2 linked regions of the Anolis sagrei genome follow. The protein of the gene in region 1 interacts with the protein of each later gene in a pairwise test. Links are inferred from orthologs where the notes say so. Each region holds a gene or a part of one and is shown on either strand. Other genes may lie near its edges.

Region 1 (7,817 bases):
ATTTTCATCAAACCAGTCTTGATGTTTCTTAGTTTGATATCCTTTTTAACAGGCTACAATGATAGAGGTCTTCAGTTTATTGTAAAGCTTGGCCGCTCACTGAACATCGAGAAAACCAAAGTGCTCTCCCAGCAGTCACCAGCCAATCACTCTTCAATGCCAGAAGTACAGCTCAGTTGTGTAACATTAGAAAACGTTGACAATTTCTGCTACCTTGGCAGCCACCTCTCCACAAAAGTCAACATTGACACCAAAATGCAGCACCGTCTGAGCTCTGCAAATGCAGCATTTTTTAAAATGAAGAAGTGTTTGAGGATCAGAACGTTCCTAGGAATGGGAAGATGCTTGTTTATAAAGCTGTTGTACTCCCAACTCTCTTATATGCCTGTGAAAGGCGAACCATCTACAGATGTCACACTCAACTTTTGGAACGATGCCATCAGCGTTGCCTCCAAAAAATCCTGCAAATATTTTGGAAGACAGGTGGACAAACGCCAGCATTCTGGAAGAAGCAAAGACCACCAGTATTGAAACTATGATCCTCCACCATCAACTTCACTAGGCTGGCCACGTTGTCTGAATACCCGATCACCATCTCCCAAAACGGTTACACTATTCTCAACTCAAGAATAGAAAATGAAATGTTGGTGGACAGGAAAAGAGGCTTAAAGACGGACTTAAAGCTAACCTTAAAAACTGTGGCATAGACACAGGGAAGACCTGGGAGGCCCTGGCCCTCGAGCATCCTAACTGGAGGTCAGCTGTGACCAGCAGTGCTGTGGAATTTGAAGAGGCACAAATGGGGGGTGAAAGGGAGAAACATGTCAAGAGGAGGGCACATCAAGCCAAACCTTGTCGGGCCTGTCTTCCATCTGGAAATTGATGTTCTCACGGCTAAAAATCATGTGGATCTAGAATAGGTCTCTACAGTCATTTGCGGACCCACCGCCAAGACTCTTCACTTGGGAGGCAATTATACTCATCCGTTAGTGATAGCCTATGATGATAATCCTGTTGCATTAAAAAGCAAATTGTATTGTTTATCAGTACCCATCACATGGTGGTGTTCATTGCTTTTCAGATTTATCACATGAGTGAGTACAGTTAAGGCAGACCCCATTTATCTCTATGAGTTATTCTGTTCTCAATTTTTTTATGGATTGCTAACTCTAGTTTTTAAAAAAGTAAAGAAAAGACGGGAGAAAGTTCAATTTCAAAAGGTTAGACTCAAGTGAACGATCTCCTGAAGCATTGCAATTTCTACTGACTACATTTAAGAAAAAAAACTATGGCTGGATTTTGGGAGATTACTGGGGCATCATTGCTTTGTAGAACACCACCCTAAGAACGCCATTCCCCTATGCAACCAAATTGATTCAAGTCAGGTGAATTTGACAGATCCCATCCCACATGTTTTTCACTGATTTCTCCAGTTTTCAAGCAATTCCTGAGCTCCCTGTCAACTGTCCACCCCCCCCCCCCCAGTTTCTTTACACTTTCAAAACAGTTCCCTAACTAAGCATCATGAATAATAGGGGAAAGTCTCCCTGTGTTGTGTGATAGGGTCGGTTTTACTTCTCTTTAATGTTTAAGAATTGTTTAGAAATGGAAGGGGTGTGTTGAGTGGAATAACATCCGTAGTCAAGGAAGCAATGGTCCTGAATTTGCAGGGCTGTAGATCATAGAATCATAGAGTTGGAAGAGAACCTCGTGGGCCATCCAGTTCAACCCCCTGCCAAGAAGCAGGAAAATCAGATTCAAAGCACCCCAACAGATGGCCAGGATGTATTCATTCATGACAGGACGTATTCATTCATCTGGTCACCGTAAGTTGAAGCCAACTTTGATAGCCATTAAGAACAAATTAATAACAAGAGGTCTTATTTTGGTTGCAACCAAATAACATGGCTACTAAAAGTGACTCAAGAAATGGCCATTAGCCAGTTTCTTTCAGGAAACCCATAACCAAGGCATGTGGCCACCTATTCTCTTGTTTATGTATTCTATTGCTATTCCAGTTCTCTCTCAATCTGAAATCCATGTTTAAAATAAAATAAAATTTGGTGCCAAGGTTTTAAAACCATTAAATAACCAATCCAATGAAAACATTAGCTTGAAACAGTTAAAATACATACTTTAAAATCAAACAGCATGTTAAGAAGCAGCACACCCAATACACACTCTTTTCCTTCAAATAGTTAAAGGTTAAAGGACTGTTTGAATATGGTTTTTGCTTATTGGCAAAAAGAGAGCATAGGGACAAACTAATCCTCCCTTTAGCAGGAATTTCATAGCATATGAGAAGCTGCCAAATGGGCCTGTGAAAGAACACTATCCATCCCTTGAAGAATGTAATAGTTGTATGATAAAGAACATCCGCAGGCATTATTATTATTCAGCTGCAGTCATGCTGTACCAGCCTTGTGTGATTGCATCCAAAGCCTTTCCTTTCCTTGGTAATTTTGTACCACATCACTGAATTCATGCAGTGAGATTTCTGTCAATAGCTATGTGTGTATTTATTTAAATAATTTTAAGCTGCACTTCAGCTAAACTCTGATCTTTGGCTGGAAAGGTTGCCAAAGCAGCTTACAGCTCAATCAAAAGACTTAGTCCTCAAGCTTACCATCAGAAACAAGACAAAAAGAAAGGGGGGAGAAGGAGGAGGAAAGAACTGAAAAAAATCTAAGTGTTAATTCTTCACTTTACAAAGTTCTTATAATGATCAGCGGAAATAGAAACAGTTCAGCTGTTCAGGGAAATGAACTGAATACATTTAGAGCCTTTCCACATCACACAGTGCTATGATTTCACTTTCACTGCCATGACTTTATCCTATGGAATCCCAGGATTTGTAGAAGGTTGGGCATTTACAATTCCAAACCAGGGAATGCCTCTGATGTCCTTGAACAAACTACAAATCCCATGATTCTATAGGATGTAGCCATGACAGTTCAAGTGGGATCATAGCATTATGTTTGTGTAGTCTGAAAAGGCCCTTAATCTCACACCCCATCTACACTGCCATACAATGCAATTTGAACTAACCATATAATGCAGGTTAAACCATATTGAACTGGATTATAACACTCTACATTACCATGTAATCCAGTTCAATCTGCATTATAATGACTGTGTTGTCCCATTCAGACTACACAAACATAATGCTATGATCCCACTTGAACTGTCATGGCTACATCCTATAGAATCATGGGATTTGTAGTTTGTTCAAGGACATCAGAGGCATATAATCCAGTTTCATAATGTAGGTTGACTGCATCGAACTGGATTATATAGCAGTGTAGGCTCATATAATCTAGCTCAGTGCAGTGAAATCTATACAATTCTATACTGGCCATTAAAATCCAGTTCAAACAGCATTATCTGGCAGTGTAGATGGGGCCTCAGAGTCAATGTAATGGAAAAGTCTCTGGTTCTCTTTTCTACTTCATTCTGATGGAAAGACAGCATTCGGACACCTGTTGAATCTGAATCACTTGACATTTCTTTTGCCTTTGGAGAGATCCTTTTTGAGTTCTTTACAATCTGGATTTTCACCTGTACAATTAATGTTGTGATTGTTAGTTTAACTATTTTTATGCTTCCTCTAAGCCTAACTCACTTCATAATATTGTTTCATAATATTTTTCTACCAATTTCATGTAGAGTTGTGATTAGATTCCTCCTTATTTCCTAGGGCCCTTACACATCCATGTAACCCAGAATATCAAGGCAGAAATTCCTACAATATCTGCTTTGAACTGGGTTATCTGAGTCCACATTGCTATATATTCCAGTTCAAAGCAGAAGATGTGGGATTTTATTCAGCTGTGTGGAAGGGGCCTTAAGTTTCCTTCCCTGACTCTGTTGACAATGTTCCAGTCTCCAAATCAGATATGTGCTCATACGCTTCCACATTCTACTACTCAGACAAAATTGTTGAAGCACTAACATTGGCTTGACATTGGGTTATGGGCCCAGTCTGCCCTAGTATAGCACAGTATTGGCAAGTAGGAAGGGCACTCTAAAGTCCAGTACTTTGAAATTCTTGTTTCATGTGTTGTTGTTTTTTGTGCTTAGTAGAAAGTAAAAAACCAGTCATAGCACAGCACATGTCCAGTTTGCCATTTGAGCATAAAATAAAATAAACACCTTTTAACTTTTTCACTTCACCCCTGAGAACAACAGAAGATGACAACTTACCTGATAAGTTCTGCTGCTGTCCTGCTGTAATTGTAATTTGATAAAATTGTGTGGTAAAGCCCCAAGAGCAAGACAGCTTCTAGTCCAAGCCAACTATAAATAAACATTGCAGCCACTGGATACACTTCTTCCCCCTTCCACCTTCTGTAATTGTGTGATGATAGGGCCAACCTTGCTGAGGCTTTCGAGGAATGGATAATTCCCATCACAAATATAAAGAGATATTATAAACTTTAGAGAAAAGTGCATTCAGGCTGCAGAACTAAAACAGTAACTTCCAAGCTTTGTGAATGTGTGTATAAAACTGACATTTAAGTTTTTAGCATCTATCAAGCAACAACCTCCTCCTCAGTCAGTCATCATCCCAGCAGGAAAGAAAATCAAAGAGTGCTTTAACCTCTGTTCATAAAATGCCATTACTTGATACAGCAGGATAAGTTCTTTATCGACAAGAAAGATAACCCAACTGTCACGTTGGATTTGCACATATCTGAAACAATCAGATTGCTACCACTTCCTGTTCAACCATTTAAATGCATTTTTTAGCTTTTCAAAATGTGACTCATTAGGAGGGGGAGAAAAGTGCTCAGCTTTGAAAGAGGGGAAGTCCTGGTAGAGAGAGGAACTAAAGAATTCTGTAGAAACCACTGCTCCACGCATTCACCATCTTGTTCATTTCCGCCTTGGTTCTACGGCTTGGGAGGCATGTCATTTTGAGGGGACCCTCAAGCTGGTTAGTCAGACAACTTCTGTGCAAATAAGAAATGGACGACTTAGGTAAGTAGCTCTTTCTCCTCAACGGCCAAAGAGCAAAGACTAAAGGAATGGGATTTTTAATCTCAATGCAGAATAGTCAAGGATATTGCATTTTACTTAAATTGTCTTTCATGGGAGGGAACGAGGAGAATTACGGAGGTGAAGAAATCAAGCAACTATTGCAGCAATGTCCTCTGTCAGAGATTTTGAGTCCTTTGACAGCCTTGTGACAAAAGCTAAATTTTTGTCTCACAGACAGTTTATAAAAAAGAAAAAAAGGAAATGCAACAATCTTACTTGGGCCGCTTGCGTTCAAGAAGAATAAAGTTGAATTGGAACAGAAAAACTTTCATAATTAGAGAAATAAGAATTATTACCTTAGAAGTGAAAATTAAAGTAACTTGTTCTAATCAGTTCCTTAAAAATAATTTACAAATATTATTGAAGGTAATATCAGAGATGGAGGAAGACTATTCAGAGAAAGCAGTTGTGCCAAAAATGGGTTATTTACAAATAACAAATTCTAACTGGAAAGCGGGGGGGGGGGGGGGGGGGAAGCATCCTGTTGAATTGAGAAGAGGTTCAGAATTCTAGATTACGCTGGATAAAATCATTGAATTTCCACATTCACTTCTGTATTCTTAGAATTAATGCAGTTTGACAACACTTTAATTACCAAGACACAATACAATAGAATCCTGGGATTTGTAATATTGTGGGGCACTAGACCTCTTTGGAAGATGTGGCTAAAGACCTTGTAAAACTACAACTCCCATGATTTCATACAGTTGAGCCATGGCGGCTAAAGATGAATCAATTCCACAGTCTAGATGCATCCTAGACTACTGCAGATCAGCTGTTGCTATCAAAGAGCAATGAGAGACTACAGGAATCAAGAGCTTTATTGAAAAGAATCCAATGGGTTGTTCTTATATATACAACAATGCAGTATGGTGGACTGATTCTGCCCAGTTTCCTCTTTCATGCTTCTAGATCCTGTTCCCTATGTAGCCACCTGTCCTACATATGGATAGACTTGAACACAAGTAAAGAGAGGGAGAAAAACCCTATCCCCAGCCCCCCCTGCCCCAACTATGGATACAACTAAACATGCACCTCTTCCTTGTCATCATAATTCTATAATTAGTTAATATATTAATTTTGTCAGCAAGTGGAATTTAGTTAAATCTGGAATGATAGACTAACATGTTCTTTACTAATTGTTTTTCCCCATCTCATTACAGCTTGTGAGGGGGCAGAGGGTTTTTTGTGTGTTTTGTGGTCTTGTTATGTATTCCTTAGTGGGTTATGCCTATTATAATGCATTAATGCTTTAGTAATGTGTCATATGTTTAGTTTAGCGTTGAGCTGTTTAGGTTTATGTGGTGAAGTGTGAATTTTAATCTAGAGTTATGTATAATAATAGATAGGTGTTTAAAAGGATACGTATTTAAACTAGCATTATTGGGGGGGGGGGGCGGTAGCCAGCTTAGCTCACTCTGAGCTGAGTTGCCATGGAAAAAGGGGCAGAGCCAACTGCTACTTGGCAGGCCAGCCATTTTTAGACAGTTAGTCTGTAGTCAGCGAACTACAGGGAAGGCTGGATCTGTTGTGTGTTTAGAACCAGAAAGGTAGTATGTAGTCTAAGAACTACAGGGAAAGGCTGATTCTACTGTGTTGAGAATCAGGAGGGTTTAGGCTTTTAGCCTGTGAGGTTTAGATAGGTCAAGTTGACTTATATAGATTAGTGGTTAGTGTATGAGTAAAAAGGGTGAGAGAAACCCTAATAAGAATCTTTACTGCAACAGAAATAACATAAGGAAAGAATAAGCTTGTACCTGAAGTAACCTGTTAAAAAAAGAAACACATTTTGAAGGAAAATAAGTTTGAAACCTGTTTAGTGGAAGGAATAGTAGTTTAAAGAGTTGTTTTATGAAATGTTATCAATGTAACCACTGAAGAAATGTGCCTCTAAGAGTTAAGAAACATTGAAACCATCAAGCTTCTTCTATACTTCAATAAATTGTTACAGTTTCTTCTAAAGCCAAGTTACAAATACTTTTAAGTTAAGCCACGCTACACATTGAAGAAAGACCAAATCAATATTACAAGCTATCAGTTGTGTTATCAATTTAATAAGTCCTGACAAAGTGGTGACTCCTTTATAAACTTTTACAAACTGGGTGCCTCCTTTACAAATTGGTGGCATATATGGTATATATGAATAGTCCTTCTTTTTAGCTTCCTTTTCTTGAATGCTGTCCACTTTGTTTAGAATTTATTTGTTTCTATTGAAACTAATTAATATCAATAAAAACAATGTCATATGAACCATATGCAAGTAAAATATTCACCTTGATGTATTCTAACATATAAGCTGGAATATATGATAAGGAAGATACCAAGTACAGTAAGATCCCTGTAACCACAGGGAATACATTCCTGGACAGAACACAGTTACATGAAACCTGAACAACAGAATGCCATTACATTACCTCACTTTTGTTCCAGCATAGCATAGAGTTGCATTGGAGGACATAGAGATACCCTCTTTATTAATTTGCTAGTTCCTCCAACACAACTCTATTGCAACTTAGAGGGGAAGTATACCATAGAATTGTCTATAAGACCTAGAAAATTCGTAGAGAACTACCCCCGACCCCAAGTGCAAATCTGCAGGTATAGGTTCTGCCTTACAGAGTTCATAACTATACCTTTCCAAAAGCAAATAATATAATGTACCATTTATAAGGAACTAATGTAAACTGTTTAGTAACAGATTCTCTGACACACCTTCAAACATCACTGATTTTTATCATTTTCTTTTGGGAGTGTGGAAGCTGTATGATAACATAATC
Region 2 (8,071 bases), on another chromosome or scaffold:
TGGCGAGCCGCAACAGCACCCCGCCTCTGAATTTGTCCTTCCTTTCTTCCTCCCCTTGTTTCTAACCTGAATTTTTCCCAAGAAGGACAGGGCAACCACGCTCCCATCCACTGGGTCCTGAGGTTTAATTGCACTCCGGAATTTATTGTCTTCTACTGCTCCCAGCCACAAAAACAGTCTGGAATCCAAAGTCATAACATCTGACAAAATTCTTCGCAGCAAACCAGGGGGCGGGAGGGAAAGGCAGGAAAGCCATTAAACAGGTATCAACGCCTCCCGAGTAAATTTCCCTGGGATGAGCATTTGAGCATTTTCTGGGGTTGCTTCCCTCCCTCCCTCTTCCCCTTTACCCTTGAGTTAAACATAAAGATCACGTCCACTGGAAACAAACCTAAGTGTTCAGTTGCCCGCCATTAAAATACTGGTCCCGGAAAATAAAATTCAAAACTCATCAACTCAACAACAATAACAAAACCACACCTTGATCCATATATTTTTAAGAAATAGAGGTGAATTTCTATGTCCAATTCAGCTACTCAGTTGCAAAGTTCTCCTTTCCATGTTACTGTTTACATAGCTGTCTAATATACTAACACTGCTAGTATTTTTGCTACCACTAGGCTGTTCGATTTTTTCCAAAAATATATTATTATTGTCAGACATCTACTAGCAGTATAGTGGTGTACATATTGCATTTGGCTTTCCATGATAATTTTGGGATCAGGTTTAGGAAGATATAGAATCAAAGGTGCCAAGGAGATTGAGGGTAGGGTTATCACTCTTTTTTTGTTGTGTTGTCGAAAGCTTTCATGGCCGGAATCACTGTTTGCTGTGAGTTTTCCGGGCTGTATGGCGATGTTCCAGAAGCATTCTCTCCTGACATTTCTCCCACATCTATGGCAGGCATCCTCAGAGGTTGTGAGGCCATAAATGTGGGTGAAACGTCAGGAGAGAATGCTTCTGGAACATGACCATACAACATGGAAAACGCACAGCAACCCGCCCTCTGTATTGATACCGTTTCCTCCCTAAAGGGAGAAAGAGAGGGGTGAGGTGGGAGAAAGAGAGGCTGGGAGGGCGGTAAAATCAAGAGAGAAAGAAGGGTTTAAAAGAAACGAACTGATACATTAAATGCATTGCTAAGCCCCTCTACTCGGAAGTAAGCTTTGGAAGGGCCCTTCCTCCCAGGCAGGCTGCAGAGCTCCTTAAAGGAAGGGAAGGAGAAGGAGGGGGCGGAGTGGGGAGTGTGGAGGAGGCTGTTCTCTGCCTTACTCCGCATGGGGAAACTTCAAGGCGCGGACTTTATGCTTAGTTTGCTTTCACTTATGAAGGGCTGTCAACACTGCAACGCCTCGAGTTTACAGCTGGGGAGGCCTCGCAGGGGCTGCGAAAACCCGGGCCAAGGAAAAGAGGGTGGAGGGGGGGGGGAGTAAATCGGAGGGAGGGAAGGGAGAAAAGTGGGATTTCTTTTCTTCCTTTTTTAATCCGAACTTGACGGTGTTTATTGAACCGAGTGGGACACTTAGAGCGAAAGAAGGCGCCACAGGAGGAGGGGGAGAGAGGGATGTGTACCAGGGATGGTGGTACGTTGCTGTGCTCAGAGTTTAGTGGATGCAAGAAGGGAAAGGGGGAAAGAAAAAGACCCCAGATACAACCCTAACCGCCCCTCCGCGAAACTGGGTTCGGCCGCCAGAGACGCACGGGAGCCATTGACCCAAGAGGCCTCCTCCGCTGCTTCCTTGGGACCAAGGCATCAGCTGACCGGTAGCCCCAAGGCGTTTGGGGGGGGGGGTGGCTGAGGGCTAGGGCGCTTCCCTAGGCCTGGAGCCGGTCTCCAGGAAGGGATGGTGTCCGGTAATTGAGGTAATGGAGGCCTGGAGTGCAGAGGAGAGGAGGGATGCTTCAAGGCAGCCAGTGCTTTGGAGTTTGGAAGGAATAAGGTGGTGGCTAATGCAGAGAGGAGGAGAAGGTGAAGCAAAGTTAGATAGGCTTGGAGTCTTGTCCTTTGAAGCAAGAGGAGGAGTCTTCTGACAGAGAGACCTGCAGCGATCCAGTTCTGTGCAGATAAAGATGGGAAGCCTCAAGGAGAATTGTGAGTGTATGAGTGAGTGTGTGTGTGAGAGAGAGACAGGCACTGCATGGGTCTGCGTGTGTAGGAGACTTATTTTCCAAGTTTCCTTCCATGACAAGCTTCCTTTAATCACACAAATATTATATACATATAATACATATATTATATACCCATATGTATATAATATTTGTGTGATTAAGGGAAGCTTCTCTTGGAAGGAAACTTGGAAAATAAATCGCTTACCCTCCTAACAAATGCAGATACGGACAGTGTCTCTCTCTCACACACACACTCACTCACACATATATACATATATATGTATTACATGCATATAATGCATATATATGCATTTTTAAAATGGCGGAAGTAGGTTTGGGTCTCCTACTTTTTAGGCTCACAACCGAAGAGGATCAATAACTATCATCAATCCAGGTCACTCCTCCCTCTCTTGTCATTCACGTCACAGATGACGATTAGAACCCCCCTCCCTTGAAAAAATGCCTGAGATTTAAAATACATTGTTCTCCAAGAACGACCCGCCTCCTAAATAAAATATATAAAAATATATTTAATATTTATTTTATTTCGAGGTGAAGGGAACAGGAGACGCTGGGATGGGCCACGTGGTTGGGAAGGTGATTGGCTTCTATGAGAGACTGAGGGGAGATGCTCCTAGAAATCATCTCAGTCTGTTGCAGTGGCAGGAAGGAGCAGAAAGGTAGTCCCTTCTGCCCTCCAGGTAATTAAGAATTAGGTTATGGATGCCAATATTTCCCCTCTTTGTCCCGCTGGGGAAAAATAAATAAACAAACAAATCTCCAAAAGAAGAGCATTTCAGAATATATTTTTCCAAGGAAGTTTCCTCAAACTGGTAAAATCAGAGGCGTGAAGACACAGACCCGGATGATTTTTCCCTGCAGTTTCCTAGGAGCAGGCGGTGCTGAAGAAGGCAGTGTAGCAATGTTCTGCTCCTTCTGTCTCCAAGCCAGAAGGGTCTCCCATCTCCATCTCTGCGGATCTCTGCTGCTCTTTTCCTCTCTGTTGCGACGGCGGCTGGCTCCCGGTCGCAGGACCCCTTGAACGAGGAGGGCTTTGCACTTACAAGCCTCTTAGTAGGATCGTTGGCTGTGAACAACCTGCCAGCGTGAAAGGAAACTGGCTTGGCGTTTGCCATCTTCTTTGTCTTCTTCTTAGGCTGCAAGGCTTTCTTCCCTTGGATCGAAAAGGCACCTCTCTCGGCAGTTGGGTTTCTTTGGGAGGTGCTCCATCCAGCAATATTTGAATGACCTTGCTTGGTTGCATTAAGGTTACCAGCAGGGTTTACTTTTCCACGCCCTCTCCTTCACATGATCCACTCGTCTTGGCGTGTGTGATATTTAGGTTAGGCTTTCTTGCCTTTCTGAAATTATTCTTTTTTCTTTCTCTTTCTTCCTTTTCTACACAGATAGGGAAAATCAGTGTGTGTCTGCATTGGCTCTGTGTGTGAGAAGGAGATAGAGATTTCCTCGTTCATTCCCTGCGCCTTAGTAAACAGCATAGCCTTGGAAGATTTATATTTATATATTTGCCCAGAAAATTGGATTTCTTCCTGGAACTCGAGCAAACGTTGAATCCCTCCCACATACTGTATGTGTGTATATATCTTTGTGTGTGTGTACACAGTAATATAATATAAGAATATAAAATAATATAAATATAATAAATATAATAAATATAATATAAATAATATTATAAATATAATATAAATATAATATAAATAATATTATAAATATAATATACCTCCTCGCATTGTGTGTGTACTCCCTGCCCTGAATTTGTGCACAGAGGAAACATTAAAAAAACAAAATGGTAAAATAATAAAAAAATACAGAATGAAATCACGCTCGGTTAGGAACTCTGCTTTACGAATTCAGATGAGGGGAGAAAAAAGAAGTCAGTTGAGACCTTTGATTGACAGATAAATTGAACTCCAGGCAGGCCAAAGGACACCTTAAAAAGTTCCTATAGGAATATTTCCCTGAAAGAAAGTGCGAGGCTAAAAACGGTAGCAGAATAGCAGGCTGGCGAGGAGAAGGGGGAGTTCAGATTTCACAGCAAGACTGCTATCGAATCTGGATTTCTTGGACACACATGCACACCCCAGAGGGAAGAGAGGAGCACATCCCCATCTCTTTCTATTTAAAGGACGCTCCTTATGGAATGAAATACTGTTCCTTCAGACCAGTTAGGGAAGGCTGGGCTGCAGTGAGCCAGGACTCCTGAATTAAGATGTACTGGGAATCTTGAATCAGCTTTAATCAAGCAACTTTTCCAAAGTCAGAATAATAATAATAATAATAATAATAATAACAACAACAATATCACAGCAACCCAATAATAATAACAACAACAACCACAATGACACTCAGTAGGGCTAATAATCAAGATGATGACGGAAGAAGAAAGAGAAAGAATTTCCCTGGATTTACTTCATTTTCTCCTCCTCAGATCCCCCGAGCAAGGTGTCTAAAGGAACCCATTCTTGTTCCTGAGTCTATGGGGAGCCTGGCGCTGTGTGTTGGGGTGTCAGTTCACTGGTGGATCCTAGGTCCCTGTGGGACACATCCCTTCTCTTTCTCTGCTTCTCTCTGAGACCTCCATACCGTTCTCTGCTTCGACTTTTTCTTGAACCTCCCTCTCCTTTTGTTGCAAAATTACCGCACCTCCAAGCCGATTCTGCTACATACACTGGAAACTGTGAATCCTCTTTGACAACGTCGGGGGCAGTGGGGGAGTCTTTTCGTGTTGTTGTCCTTTTGGTGGTGTTCTTGGTGTTGCACCATCCAGTCAATATTATTATTATTATTATTATTATTATTATTATTATTCTGACGCAAAAACACAGTATGTCATAGCAAATGAGATTATTATTATTATTATTATTAGGAGAGAGCTCTCATTTTACAGATGTTTTCCCCCAGAAGAAACAAGCAACTCTATCCTTCCAGATTTCTCAAGGTACAAGCTAAATAAGAGACACCTACTACCTTATTCTGCCAAAGAATTGTTGTTATTTGTAAAACACACATAGAAAGAAGTCTTCAGGTGGAGTTCTGACAGCTATTTGGTAAAATGGGGAGTGGGTTGCATAATAAGATTAATTTTTGATTTTTCTTCTGCTGGTGATGGAGATGATGATGGAAGAAGACAACCCAAGCTCTTCGAAACAAGCACCCTCCCTGTTTCCACATGCAAATGTCCCTCACTCCCAGCCATGCCTTCTCACTGAAACTTCCTCGTACAGTTTTATTTAATGAACGACACATTTATGAACAATCAAATGATCCTCGTAAAAATTTTATTGAAGGACATAAAAACATCCACCACTACTTGCAGAATAAAGCTGCCTCACACAAGAGGAGAGTCCTGTGTTGTTGTTGTTTTGGAGTGGGGGGGGGGGGTTGTTATGATGATATTTCCATTCATGTTTTACAAGGTCATCCTCCCTGAAGAGAATCAACACACTCAAAGACAAATAAGCACCCATGCATATAGATAGGTATACATAAAGAGAAAGGCATGTGATGCCTAGAATGTCTTGCTGCTAAGTAGGTTGACAAATATGCATCTCAGGGTGAATGACAAAAGGTCCTTTGATCAGCCAGAAGTAGCTGACTATATATAGTCACATACATGAATATATATATAGATATATGCAACACACACATACATATTCATATGTGGGTGCTAGCAGGCGTGCATAGAGAAAGAGAAAGACACCCCTAAATGATTATATATCCATTCATGGGCTGCTGCTGCAGAAGAAGAAGAGATGAGCCAGCAGAGCAAACTCTGTCAGGACCTTCAACCGACCCCCTCCTCCTTTGCCCCTTTAAAGAAATTCCATGTAATGTATCCATTATAGAATACTAGCTGGAGAAGCCAAGAGAGACCAGACAGAGACAAATTGCGTCAAGAAATAGTTCCTGTGATACCTTGCTACACCAGATACCTAGCCCTCGCACACACAGGCACACAGCCTCTCTCTCCCTCTCTTTCTCCCTCTCTCTCTCTCTCCCCCCTGTCTCTCTCTCTCTCTCTCTTTCTCATTAACAGCAGAGCTATGGAAAAGCCAGGTCGCAGAGCGAGCCCTCCAGCCAGCGAAGGAACAGAGTCGCCTCTCAGCGAATGGCACGTAAGACCCAACTGCTGCTAATAGCTGCATTATTTCAAGAGTTTTGATGAAAACCTAAGTCGCATAGGCGCTATTTAAAAAGAGAGAGAGAGAGAGAGAGGAAAAAAATTGAAAGCGAGGGGGAAAAAAAAGACCTGCGGATTGATCTACACTGTATTTTGGGTAAATACAATCACGTGAGCGCTGAGAGCCAATGGCAAGCGGGGAAAGGCTGAAAAAATAATTACCTGCCCTGATTGTTCTATGAGAAGATAAAAAGTACACATACAGTTCATACAATAATCTTATGAATGTAAAAGAGGGGGGAACAATGTCGGCTTCGGGTCCCATAAGCAACTATTATGTAGATTCCTTGATTAGTCACGAAAGCGACGAACTGTTGGCATCCAGGTTCCCGGCGACTGGCTCTCACCCTGCGGCAGCCAGACCGTCAGGACTAGTACCGGAGTGTGCCGATTTTCCGTCCTGCAGCTTTGCCCCCAAACCGGCCGTGTTTACAACTTCGTGGGCGCCCGTGCACTCCCAGTCGTCCGTGGTCTACCACCCGTATACCCACCAACCTCACATTGGAGCTGACACCCGGTATATGCGCACTTGGCTGGAGCCTATCTCTGGCGCGGTTTCCTTCCCAGGTTTTCCAACCAGCAGCCGGCACTACGGGCTTAAACCCGACGCCTTCCACGGCCGCAGGGATTGCGGACCCGTGGATGCACGTAGTTACCCGGATTATATGTACGGATCCCCGGGAGATCTCAGGGACAGAACCCCGCAGACTATTCCCTCCCCGGAATCTGAGGCCATCGCTTCCAACAAACACAAAGAAGAAAAGACCGAATTGGACCCTAGTAAGTCGAAGTCATTCTTGTTTACAACCGGGAAGGCATTACAGCCCTCCCTGGCACAGTACTCAATAAAATGAAATTACCTTGCTGTTTAGGATTCTTGGAGTCCTTGCCTTGAAGCTCCAACTGGACAAGGCTGGTGTGGTTGTTGTTTGGAAGGAAAAGGAAAAGCAGAGTTAGAAGATCAGCAGTGTTTTGGGGGCAGAAGGGAGGCAGTGAATATTGTTTGTGAATATTATTGATGATTATTAAGGGTATTATTAAGGTGGGTGGGTGTTTTTCCCCCCTTACCTTTTCCTTTTCTCACCTTCGCATGATCAAATATTCATAACCTACCATGCCCTCACTTCCTTGCCCTTCGTCCTTCAGACTTTTCAGGAATTTGGGAAATACAACTGACTGTGGCAAGGAGAGGTTATCTTAATAGTATATGCATTACTGCTATGATTATTTTAAAAGGAGATAAGGGGAAAAACCATCAGAGAAAACTCACCCTTGGATTATGGGTCAGATGGGCTTACATAATCCTAGAAGATGTCTGAAATGTTTGGGTTGGGAAAGAGAGACAGAGAAAGAAAGAAAGGATAAGGAATGACTGTAGATTATTAAAAGTAAAATTGAGCAAAATATATATATATCTGAGTTGAATAGATGGGAAATGCAGGCATGTGTGTAGGAAGAGAAGTGAACCATTCCTTCTCCCTCTGTCTTTCAAAAAATGTTCTACAGTTCAACTTGCCAGCCAAGGGAGCTAAAGGAAGAAATACCCTTGAACATAGTGAAAACCGCCGGTAGGGCATCCAAAGGATGTGTCCACTAGTAGTTTAAAAACTCATAATTCTTCTCCCCAGCCCACTGGTCTCTTCCTCGTGGACATAAGCCATTTAAGTGCAGGGGGAATTGTTTCTGGGCAATTGGAAGTCAAGGCAAAATAGTGGGGATCCAGCTCACCAAGAATGAATGTTCCCTTGTGTGCACCTCTGA

The links.
Region 2: the proteins of LPXN (region 1) and HOXC9 interact in binary tests that used the Homo sapiens proteins (3 or more experiments, as listed by UniProt). The two-hybrid records come from large-scale screens. The link is inferred for Anolis sagrei from reciprocal best matches to the Homo sapiens genes LPXN and HOXC9.

The regions. Positions count from the first base shown.
Region 1 is NC_090021.1:234,535,641-234,543,457, reverse strand, and holds the start of LPXN (leupaxin), read left to right. Parts: upstream 1-4,626; 5' UTR 4,627-4,967; coding exon 4,968-4,980; intron 4,981-7,817. UniProt on the Homo sapiens protein: Transcriptional coactivator for androgen receptor (AR) and serum response factor (SRF). Contributes to the regulation of cell adhesion, spreading and cell migration and acts as a negative regulator in integrin-mediated cell adhesion events.
Region 2 is NC_090022.1:189,328,112-189,336,182, reverse strand, and holds the start of HOXC9 (homeobox protein Hox-C9), read left to right. Parts: upstream 1-4,968; 5' UTR 4,969-6,531; coding exon 6,532-7,090; intron 7,091-8,071. UniProt on the Homo sapiens protein: Sequence-specific transcription factor which is part of a developmental regulatory system that provides cells with specific positional identities on the anterior-posterior axis.